3 linked regions of the Drosophila melanogaster genome follow. The protein of the gene in region 1 interacts with the protein of each later gene in a pairwise test. Each region holds a gene or a part of one and is shown on either strand. Other genes may lie near its edges. The genes, in order: Tango10, CRAT and mRpL54.

Evidence for each region.
Region 2: the proteins of Tango10 (region 1) and CRAT interact in a two-hybrid assay, tested with the Drosophila melanogaster proteins (one large-scale study listed by BioGRID).
Region 3: the proteins of Tango10 (region 1) and mRpL54 interact in a two-hybrid assay, tested with the Drosophila melanogaster proteins (one large-scale study listed by BioGRID).

Annotation. Positions count from the first base shown.
Region 1 is NC_004354.4:11,718,109-11,721,864, reverse strand, and holds the start of Tango10 (transport and golgi organization 10), read right to left. Parts: upstream 1,621-3,756; 5' UTR 1,204-1,620; coding exon 838-1,203; intron 667-837; coding exon 1-666. Other genes in the region: prtp (pretaporter), read right to left, coding at 2,377-3,033, 3,095-3,497.
Region 2 is NT_033777.3:6,371,917-6,375,672, forward strand, and holds the start of CRAT (carnitine O-Acetyl-Transferase), read right to left. Parts: upstream 2,110-3,756; 5' UTR 1,930-2,109; coding exon 1,898-1,929; intron 1,659-1,897; exon of another isoform or gene 1,561-1,658; coding exon of another isoform or gene 1,544-1,560; intron 1,465-1,543; coding exon 1,386-1,464; intron 1,321-1,385; coding exon 254-1,320; intron 191-253; coding exon 1-190. Other genes in the region: CG42564 (uncharacterized protein), read left to right, coding at 2,563-2,784, 3,104-3,498.
Region 3 is NT_033778.4:21,059,005-21,062,243, forward strand, and holds mRpL54 (mitochondrial ribosomal protein L54), read left to right. Parts: upstream 1-1,784; 5' UTR 1,785-1,908; coding exon 1,909-2,011; intron 2,012-2,068; coding exon 2,069-2,202; intron 2,203-2,262; coding exon 2,263-2,424; 3' UTR 2,425-2,583; downstream 2,584-3,239. Other genes in the region: cpa (capping protein alpha), read left to right, coding at 1-57; CG15653 (uncharacterized protein), read right to left, coding at 895-1,118, 1,176-1,464; Cht8 (chitinase 8), read left to right, coding at 2,644-2,728, 2,789-3,239.

The sequences.
Region 1 (3,756 bases):
CTGTTCGATCAGTTCCATGAAACCGCCACTGCCAGTGGCCTCCATCTGTTCGCGACGATGCAGCAGCCACGTCTGCAGGATGTCAAACAATTTGTACTCGCTGGTGACAACCAGATCGTTCTGCTGCAACAGCAGTATCAGTATGGCCGGGTCCATTTCAACAAAGTCCCGCGACTCGGCAACCATCTCGAGGTTCCATTTGAGAAACCGCTTGAGTGTTTCGGTGAGATCGTTGTGGGTGGGCGTGAAGGAGAGCGTATATTGCAGCCAGGACACAAGATAACCGCTGGTGGCCGCCTTGGCCACGTGCTTGTTCATGTAGTCCACGCAGAGATCGATCAGGTCGCGTATATTGTACTTGTCGCTCAGCGCCAGCATTGGCATCACCGTCTGCAGCGTGACCTCGATTTGGCCAACGTATAGGTACTTGATGAACTGCGGAAACACCGCCGAACAGCAGGCTTCCTCGTGCAATTCGATCACGTGCTTGCTGCACTCGTTCCACTCCGGATTCATTAGCATCACCTGAAAGACGTCGCTGCTGGCACAGAGGATGACGCGGTGGGCGGGAAACTCCTTGCCGTCCACCAGTAGCACTATGTCCGACATCAGCTGTTCGGCGTACAGGTTGGCGATCTTATTGAGCACACTATTCGCATCGATCATCTAGATGGGTAAGATTTGATCAGGATTAGGGCACATTCTCCCAGGATCAACTTGACTTAATACTATGGTCTGAGCTAGTCCCCACTCATAGTGGACAAAATCAATAAATGTTGATAACACACTTGGCTGGTAATCTGGCAAATAAGATCACATTTTTGGCGTTGTACCCACCGTGCTGGCTTCATCCTGGCCTTCTTCCGTTTCGCGACACTTGCGCCGCTTGGCGTCCAGATCCTCGCTAGAATTAAGTCCTTTCGCTGGGCTCTCGCTGGTTCCATTGGCATTAGCTTGGTTATTAATGGCTGCATCACCACCTGCTGCTCCTCCAGCTGCCTCGCCAGCCAGGTCCGCAGCAGCTGCTCCGCCCCCGGGACCCCCGCCCGGACCTGCACCAGCACCTCCACCGCCAGCCCCGCATCCGCCGCCACCGCCAGCACCACCAGCACCATCAGCGCCACCAGCCGCTCCGTGCGCACCACCAACACCGCACACTCCACCGGAGACTGGCGCTGCTCCGCCGTTACCGTTGTCGTTCATCGGGAAACGGGGATATTAGGTATAGACTGGCACCCGGCTAGGGATTTGTTCTGCGCTGACAACGTGCACAAGGACAACCTACGGGACGGCTTCGTAAGGACGAGCCAAAGACACGGCAAAAAGTCTCACTTCAAATGCAAAAACAACGACAGACAGATGCAGACACGATACGATTTATATCGCAGCAGCAGTGTGCCAGGCATGGATTGCAAACAGCAGGGCAGACCGATGGCACTTCATATGCGATATATGGATGGATTCGTCGCATCCGTAATAATTGTATTCTTGTGGATCCGACAAATGCAATTTCATTTTCAGTTGTATTTTCCCGGGTTCCGCAATTTTAGATAAAAATAACACAACATTTAATTAAGTGCCATATAAATACATTTATCCATTACGTAGATCTGGCAGCCCAAATTAAAATACTTGAAACTTCCCGTTTTCGATGACTCGACTAGATCTGTAATCGATAAATTGTTATCGACAACAGCGCGCGCTGCTAAAATTTCAAATCAAAAAAACCTGTCTGCTCCACTATTAAGTGGCATCAAAATCTAAATGGATTTTAAAGTGTGTTAAACAAATATTTAAAGAACGCCAATAAGTCAGCTTAAAAATTTGCATACTCCTATTTATTCGAAAAACCCACAAACATCTGTTTTTTAGCTCTTCTCAGAACATTATATAGTGGTTTTTCCCAAACAATTATTCAAATAAACCATATTGTACAGATAATAATAAAATACTTTAAACAGCAGCCTATTGTTTTCCAATTGATATTTATTAGCTTTGTGTTGACAAATTTTCCTAAAACGTAGGCTACTCAAAATGACTTTAAAATTGAAATGTAAGTTCGCTAAATGGCTTATCATCGCGCACACAGTCCCGTGCCCCATTTACGTAAACACTAAACAAATAAGTATAAAAAAAATTCTACAAAAACAGCTAAGGAAGAGGGACAAAAACGAAAAAAAAGTAAAAGGAACTCAGATTGAATTTATCAATTTCAGCTAGCGCGTTGTCGTTTGGGTGTTGTTGGATATATTGATTAAATGCGGACTCCTCACAGAGGTTTATGCTGGAGAAAGAAAAATTACGATTACAATTAATTTGGCGGGCGATTATTTGATCATTCGACTACTGCTGATTCCCTGTGAACCGGCAGATGCTTTAGAGCTCGTCGTGGCCGAGGAACTTCTTCAGATAGGCCTGCAGCTCCGGCAGTGAGCGGCTGCCTTCGTACTCGTTCTGGCGCTGACCATTCTTGTAAAGGAAGAGAGTTGGATAGCCCTCCACCTGCTGGTCGATGCACACTTGCTTGTTCTCCGGCGCCGTGCAGTCAACCTTGGCAATTTTCACGGAACTCTGAGCCTGGTGCGTTTCCGTGGCCAGCTGCTCCCAGGTGGGTTGCAGCTTCTGGCAGTGTCCACACCACGGAGCATAGAACTTAATGAAGGCAACGCCCTCGGCAATGGCTTGGTCGAACTCGTCCTCGCCAGTCAGCTGTTGTGGAGTCAGCTTCTTGGCTGCGTCCTCCTCGCCGGCAACCTCCTCGATAACCACCTTCTCATCGCCGGCCTCGCCAGCGGTCTTCTCCAGTGGCACGCCCACCATTTTCTCCACGTACGTTTTCAGCGTGGACAGATCGCGAGCACCCGAGTACTTTTCAATCTTTTTGCCATCCTCGATCCAGAGAAGAGTGGGATACCCCTTGACCTCAAAGTCCTGGCAGATGGAACGGAACTGGGTGCAGTCGATCTTCGAGATAGTTACGGTAGGCTCTTTAATCAGCTCCTTGGCCAGGTCCTCCCACGTGGGTGCCAAACGCTGTACGAAAAGGATGCCACAGTTAGGCATTTTAGGCGAGAAGGCATTGTATTCGGCTTACCTGACAATGACTGCACCAGGGTGCAAAGAATTTGACAAAGTGATTGCCGGTGGACACGTGCTTGGCAAAGGTGTCTTCGGTAAGGTCAACCACCTTGCCAATATTAAGGTTCTCGACCTGCTCGCGCTTGACCTCGCCCAGATCCGCCTCAGCGGGTGCGCTCAGTTCCTTATTGATGAAATCGGTAATGGCGGGCAAGTCGCGAGTGCCCTTAAACTTGACCGATTCCTCTTCGCCCAGCTTAAAGAGGCGCAGTGTGGGATAGCCGGTAACCTGGTGCGTGGCGCAGAGTCCCTGGTGCTTGGTGCAGTCCACCTTGGCGATGATCACCTTGGGGTTATCCACATTCATGATCTCGGCCAGCTGTTCCCACAGCGGCTGAATACGCTTGCAATGGCCGCACCTACGATTAAAAGATGCCATATGAAATGGATACGAATTCTGTATGACGCACATCTAACAAACCATATTCAACACCTAATCTATTGCGATTAAATTGATTTTGAAATAGGAATCGATAAATCGGTCAAACTCACATTGTTTTCCCCGTCCAAATACAAAGGAACACAAAACAATGAACAGCGATAAGACTTGGCGCTTTGTCCCGAACAAAGAGTTTATCATCTGGTTGCTAGAGCCGCCGAATCGCATTTCGAGCTTCC
Region 2 (3,756 bases), on another chromosome or scaffold:
CTTTATGAAATCCTTTCCAAAGCCGTTGAATTTCAGAACCTTCATTTGGAGAGCATCGGCAAGTTTATCCACGTTTTCCTGGGCGACGTTCAAAGATTTCTCTAGACTTTTATTGCTCGAAGAGAACTGTATTTTCTGTGCAGGAGCAAAGTCCTGTGAGCCAGATTGCCCGAAGCTAGGGTCTTCCTTCCTAAAATAATATAAATTATAAATATAAAGTTGTTTTTAACCACATGCGCCCTATTCAACTTACATCTTTTGCACCACGTAGTCCATCATCATCGCAATGGGCTGGCCCTCAGCCGGCGAGTGCTCATAAGTGAATCCGACGTTTCCATTGGGGTTTACCACCAGCTGAATAGTCTTGTCCATCCAACGGTTGCCGCTGTTTATCTTGCTGCCACTGCCATGGATCAGCGATAGGATAAGTTCGTCGGTCTCTTCGCCTTCCTTTAGGATAGTACCCTCATCGAGTGAGACGGTGAACAGAGCACCCTGAATGGTCTTGAGGGCATCCCGGTTGCCAGGAGTCTCAACCAGATATTCGTAGGCCTCCGCCCAATTGTCCCTGGAGTCGGTGGTCAGAATACCATAAGGAACTCCCACTTGCGTTTCCTTCAAGACGATATTCTCGAGTTGAGCAGCTAGACATGGTGCAGCAATGAGCTTTCCCTCCTTACTGTATATCTTCAGTTGGTAGAAGTGATTCTTGTAGATCACCACCACATAATCGGAGTCGGGATTGTACACGATCTCGTCGGTGCCCCTTCTGGGAATCCGACATGTGCCGAATACCTTGCCAAACTGGCTGTTGTCCAGCTCGTTCTTGCCCATTTTAACGATCGGAATTTTGTTGGCGTGCACCATGTCGTTGAATTCTCCCAGTCCATAGATAACCCTGGCGGTATAGTCCACGAAAGCACGTGAGTCCCTGAAGTTTTGCTTGGGAAAGGTCATGCCAGGACTCACGAACACGGTGACTGGATCTCGATAGGTCAAATAGGCAGCCTTCAGCCAGCGGTGGGCCAGCCAATTCTTCTCCTTGCTGCCGGTTTCTTCCAGGAGCAGCTGCAGTTCGCGTCCCTGCTTTTTTAAAAACTCGGAGGTGATTCCCTTTTGCCGTTGAAACTCCTCAGGCGTCAGGAGAGGTTCCACAGTGGTCATGAAGCGGTTCAGCGTTTCCTCCAGCGGCAGGACGTGGTACTTCAGCAGATTCGGCTGCTCCAAGGGAATGGTCTTCTGGACGGTGCTGTAGCTGCTAGCGGGCAGCACTTTCTTGGCGATCCCATTTGGAGACTGCTGGGCCAAGGAGTTCTTGGTCTGGAAATCGAATGGGATACAGATTACCGAACGGAGAATCACAAGCATTCCATATGGAGCACTACCAAATTCCACAAAAGCTTTCCATTGCCACGGAACTTCATCTCGGCTTCGGTTTTCTCGAGGATTCGCTCAGACGTTGGGCTGCAAAACGGAGAAATGGTATTCGAGTGTTACTTTAAAGTCCAACCACCGGTTGGTGTGCCTGTGGCACTGAATTAACCTTTGATATTTGTACATAATCTACTTCTAGCTATAAGGAGCGATAAACTAATGGCTCACGATTAGCAGCCAGCGGAGGAGGCAAGTGCAAGCAAAACGGCAGTTGCCAATCAACTGGCCATCGAAAGAGCAGTCCACGTAGGCAGAAGGGTGGGAGTGGAGTGGAGCCCAACTTAAATGCTATCAGCGACCGGTTTATTTACTTTCGCTCTCCCAAGAGTGCGTCTCTTAATATCCATACCATACCAGCGAAATACACGATGATTACCATCTAGATATATAACCACTTTTTATATAATCCTTAACTGGTTCGACTGTCCTTGCCCATCAGTTCAAATAAAGAATTTAAGTTTACCTCACTCTTGTTTTGCTCCGGTTAATTAACATCTATAGATTCTATATAAACATATATGTTTATATATGTTTGTATGTTCAAATCAAAACAAGAAACAGCTGTTGTCAAACAGCAACAAGTAAATAAGCACTCCCTGTTGTTGGTTTAACTGTGCTATCAATAATGGATAACAATCGATTAAAATCACAAGCAATTCCAAAACTTCTTTAAAGCTAATATTTAGAAAACAAGCAATACTATTAGTATGCAATATATGTTCATGATAAGCTAGCGTACGTTTTGTGAATAATATCGATGAATTCCCAGCTCTAGTATTCATAAAAAACTAGGGGGGTTCTTTGCAGAAAAATTACTTTAGTAAATTTTCGGCACGAATGATAATCTCAAAACGTTAATATTATTAAGTAGAATAACGTGAACTTTTAAGATTTCAATTTTTTTTTTTTGGAAATCCAAAATTAAGCTTTAAAAAACTTTGCCCAATAATTTGTTCCGGCTTTTTATGAGACGAACCAAACTATCAATATAATGTTTAATCTGCTAAAAATTCTACCATTGGTTTTGCTGTATCATTTGATCTTTGCAAATTGTGATTTCACAGTCCGAACCGTTTGATCTACGTTTTGAAAAACTAACGTTAATACGCCACGGTCTCTGGATGAAAAATGTTGGCCCTTGTCGTTTTTCTGATTGCCAGTTGTTTGACCATTCAAACGGCAGCCACTACGACACCAAGTCCAGCGGTCACCGAAGCTGGTCACCCATCTCCTGGAGGTTCGCAAGGTCAAGAGGAGCCAGGAAACAGCTCCTCAACGGAACTACCGGACTACTGCGATCCCTCCTTGTGCCACAAAGAACTCAAACATGTGGCTTGCAACGCATCAATCGTAAGTTACTAAACTAAAATGTGTGCCACGTGATAACAACCAACTAATTCAAATTAACAAAACAACATTTTTTGTTCGCATACACTATATAAGGTATAAATGGTTGAAAGAAAGCCAAATATAAATTAATTTAGGACTTTTTCAAATTTTCAATGTCATAAAATTTGTTGATAAAATTGATTAGTGACGAATATTAATTTCGAATTGATTGGCTTTTGAGAGGTATACCTTCGTTACAAAATGTCATACTAAAAGTTCTGGGTTATTTTTGTTTCCAAAATGCGTTACTATCCTAACTTGTTACCAATAATATCTTCAGGAACTGCACGACAAGTGCTCTCTGGACGCTGAGCTCATAGTGATAAGCCCAAAGGTGGAAAGATTCCTATTAAGGCGATTTAATGAGTTGAGGGATAGCGTGGCCAAAGGAGGGTTCAACGGACTGAGTCCTGCCAGTCGGATGGGCACCTTGAAGTGGAACCCGGAACTGGCCTACCTAGCTGAATTCAATGTGAGGGATTGTGTCCTGAGGCACGACGAGTGCCGGAACACGAAGTTCACGCAAAACGCTGGCCAGACGGTTGGGTATCGAGGCATTAAAGGAAAATTGCCAGAGTTGGAGGATATCCTTAGGGATATCATAGGGGTGTGGTTGCGGGAAAAATCCAGAACTTCGATGGTGAACATCATGAAGTATGTCGAGCAGGAATCTCAGTGAGTACCACTTAAGGAATATATAGGGTTGTTTACTCGGGCGTCCTTACGGGATTTGGTAAATATTTCAACCTGAAATGATTATTATTTATTTTTTAATATTTTGTAATCCTTTCTAAATCTTATCTAAATTTATAAAAAGACCGAAAAATTGTACCTGTTGTTATTAGGAGACAAAGTATCTGAATGTTATAATTCTGTCACTTTTCTTCTTAAATTAAAAATTAAATTTTTCAAAATTACTATAAACACCAATTG
Region 3 (3,239 bases), on another chromosome or scaffold:
ATCGACTGGAGCAAAATCGTCTCGTACAGCATTGGCAAGGAACTGAAGACGCAATAAGACCAGGAGGTGCAAGCGGAAGAGGAGCGGACACAGTCGACAAAGCGGCCCAATAGTCTTCCACTTGCCATGGCCAAGCGAGCATAGGAACCGATCACCAGCATTAACACCACAGCATCCGAAACGAAGTAGCAGGAATACGAGAAACGAGGGCGGCCAGGTGCAGGTGCCTGCCGAAAAAGCAAATGTCTGTAATTGGCTATATACATACGAACATATACCTACTTATATATATATATACGGCCTGTATTTATACTGTGTTATACAACGACGAAAGTGCGTAAACATAACTACACATATATCGAGTACGATCGGAGACGATTTGATTGCAAGGATTTGGATGACTTTAGCCTGACGGTGAACGATGCACTGCCGCCTCGTCTACGTCACGATCGCCACCAATTGTCGCCTTTATCGTTTAAGAAGAGCATTAAACGCGGATTTTATCATGTCCTCTGACCTATGTATTATTCTAATTTTAAACGAATCAAGCTCGAGATCTGCGCTCTCGATGAGCCAGTCAATTCTTCGTGTCTTTGAAGACCAACCAGCCGACTCTCGACTATTTTAAGTGGTATCATTAGGAGCACTCATTCAAGTTTTTCGCTTTCCCGATTGTTCACAAACCAACCACCTAGTATGAGCATGAATAATAACTATGCTAAACCACTGATCATTTTTGCCAGCTCTCCATTGACAAACAATAACTAAAGACTTTGATTTTATAAAAACAATAAATTTGTAATTAAAATAACATAACTATAAAACATTTAAGATTGCTTGAATTAGTCAAATTTAAAGAGAATAAACTAATTGAATCGGACATTCGGATTGTCTTCACTTTGAATGTGTTTCTGGTTGTTGATCCGATGCGGATAGAATGACATTGGAATCAACTTGCTGGGCAGTTTGTTTGGTTATACTCTCGGGCAGATCGAAGGTTAGTTCCTCGGATTTTTTAAGCAAAAATCGTTTCTCTGGGTTGAGTTTTGTTTCCAGCTCCAGTCGATCGATCAGCCAGCCTCTATCCGGCTGATTGGACGCCCAAAAGTATAAAGTTCCTGCAAATATAAGGTTGGTAAACGCCAAAGATTTGCTTTCAAAATCGATGGATCTACCTTTATCCTTGCTGCCCCGCACAGCCACCTCACAACGCGCCTCCTCCGCATTGCAATTGTTGTTGGCGTTGGACAGATCGATGCCAGAGTCCTTGATGGGTTCACCCAGGAGACCAACTGCTCCTCGATGGCTCCGCAGTGCCTTCAAGGCCAGTTTGTAGTACTCTGCGGATTTCACCCGATCCTCCATCTTCCATTTCATGTACATCACAGCGGATATGGAGGCCACCGCACCGTAGACACAAATATTGCCCAGTGTTCGGTTCGACGGAAACTTGAGTCCAACCATCTTGCTAACGCTTTTTTATTTACAATCCAGCTGCTGTTACTTGTGTAATATACCGTATAGCCGGCGTCGAATTAGCGATGACAGCTGGTCGATATCGTTATGTGAAAAGGCTTATTAAGACCGAAGTCCACCTCTAAATGCATTTATATGCAAATTATTTGCAGAAAATATAACAACATCATCTATTGTTATGTTGTTTTAGTGACAATTAAGTCATATTATAAAATTGCTCATAAAATTGCTTTTCATTTAAAAATAATTTCGATAGTTATTTGTTTTGAAAAATCAGCTGACTGGTCGTATACTTTATAACCAGGGCTGCAGTGCCACACTTATAGTTAGCAGATTATACAACAAAACGCACAGTTTTGTAAATATCTGTAATTTATCATTTGTTTTTCTATTAAAGTGACGAAAACGGATTAAATAAAGCACATAGCAGACATGACCAGCCTAACCGCAGTTTTCCAGATGGCGAGGCAGCGATTGATAGCCCCAGCGATAGGAAACTGGGCACGTTTTTATGCTGCAAAACCGGCGGCGCCAGGTGAGCCTCCACATCCAGGTTAAATAGTTAACAACTAATAGTAAATGCATTCCACAGCGGGCAAGAAGAAAAAGCTTGGCAAGCTGGGTCCCATCATGGAGAAGAAAGTCATACCCGTGGAAACGGATGCCAACAAATTGGTGAACTATGTGTGCGGAAGTAACTACATGAAAACAGGAGAAGATATCAAAGTAAGTTTACCCTTTCAATTCCTCAATACACTCTTCTGTACGAGTATCTTTGCTGAACAGATCAAACCGGATTCGGAATATCCCGACTGGCTGTGGACGCTGAATACGGAAGGCATAGTTCCGCTGGACGAACTGGACCCCAACTCCAAGCAGTACTGGCGCCGCCTGAGGAAACTGGCCTTGCGGCGCAACAATCAGCTGTCCAAGCTAAAGAAGTTCTAGAACCCATAGCCCTAGGTGTTATCGTTGATTTTGGAGACACAGCCGACCGTCACAGCGGCCCATGTTGTTTGCGATGCTCTCCTGAGCAACAAGTGTGCAAACACCATGTTATTTTGCTAAAAGCGAATTGCAAATACATTTATTGCACCGTCTTATCATAAAATTGAGTCGCTATAAAAGTCATGGAGTTGCGGGAAGTGTTCATTTAGTGGTCAAGCAATGTGGAGCGTATCTGGTTTAGTTAAGCTGCTCCTCGGGGTAATCCTGATGGCAGCATCATCTTCTGCACAAGGCAACTCCTCAAGTATGTAAAAGTATAACAGATTTGCATATTTCGAGGAATATCAGTGAAATCCCCTTGCAGAGAACGTTGTCTGCTACCAGGGCACTTGGTCCGTTTATCGACCTGGTCTGGGCAAGTTCGGTATGGAGGATATTGATCCGTTTTTATGCACCCATCTTATCTACGCCTTCCTGGGCATCGAGGAGACGGGCCAGCTTCGCGTGATCGACGCCTATCTGGATCTTGAGGAGAATAGTGGACGCGGAAATATCAAGAGTTTTAATGCGCTTAAGCTAAAGAATCCCGTGTTGAAGACGCTCGTCGCTGTGGGTGGTTGGAACGAGGGCTCCAAGCGATTCTCATTGGTGGCCCGTGATCCCTCGAAGCGTGAAAAGTTCGTGGATGATGTGGTCAGGTTTCTGCAGCGCCATGGTTTCGATGGCCTAGATCTGGACTGGGAGTATCCTGGCCAGCGTCACAGTCTGGATAACGAGGATCGCTCGAACTATATAACCTTTCTAAAGGAGCTGAA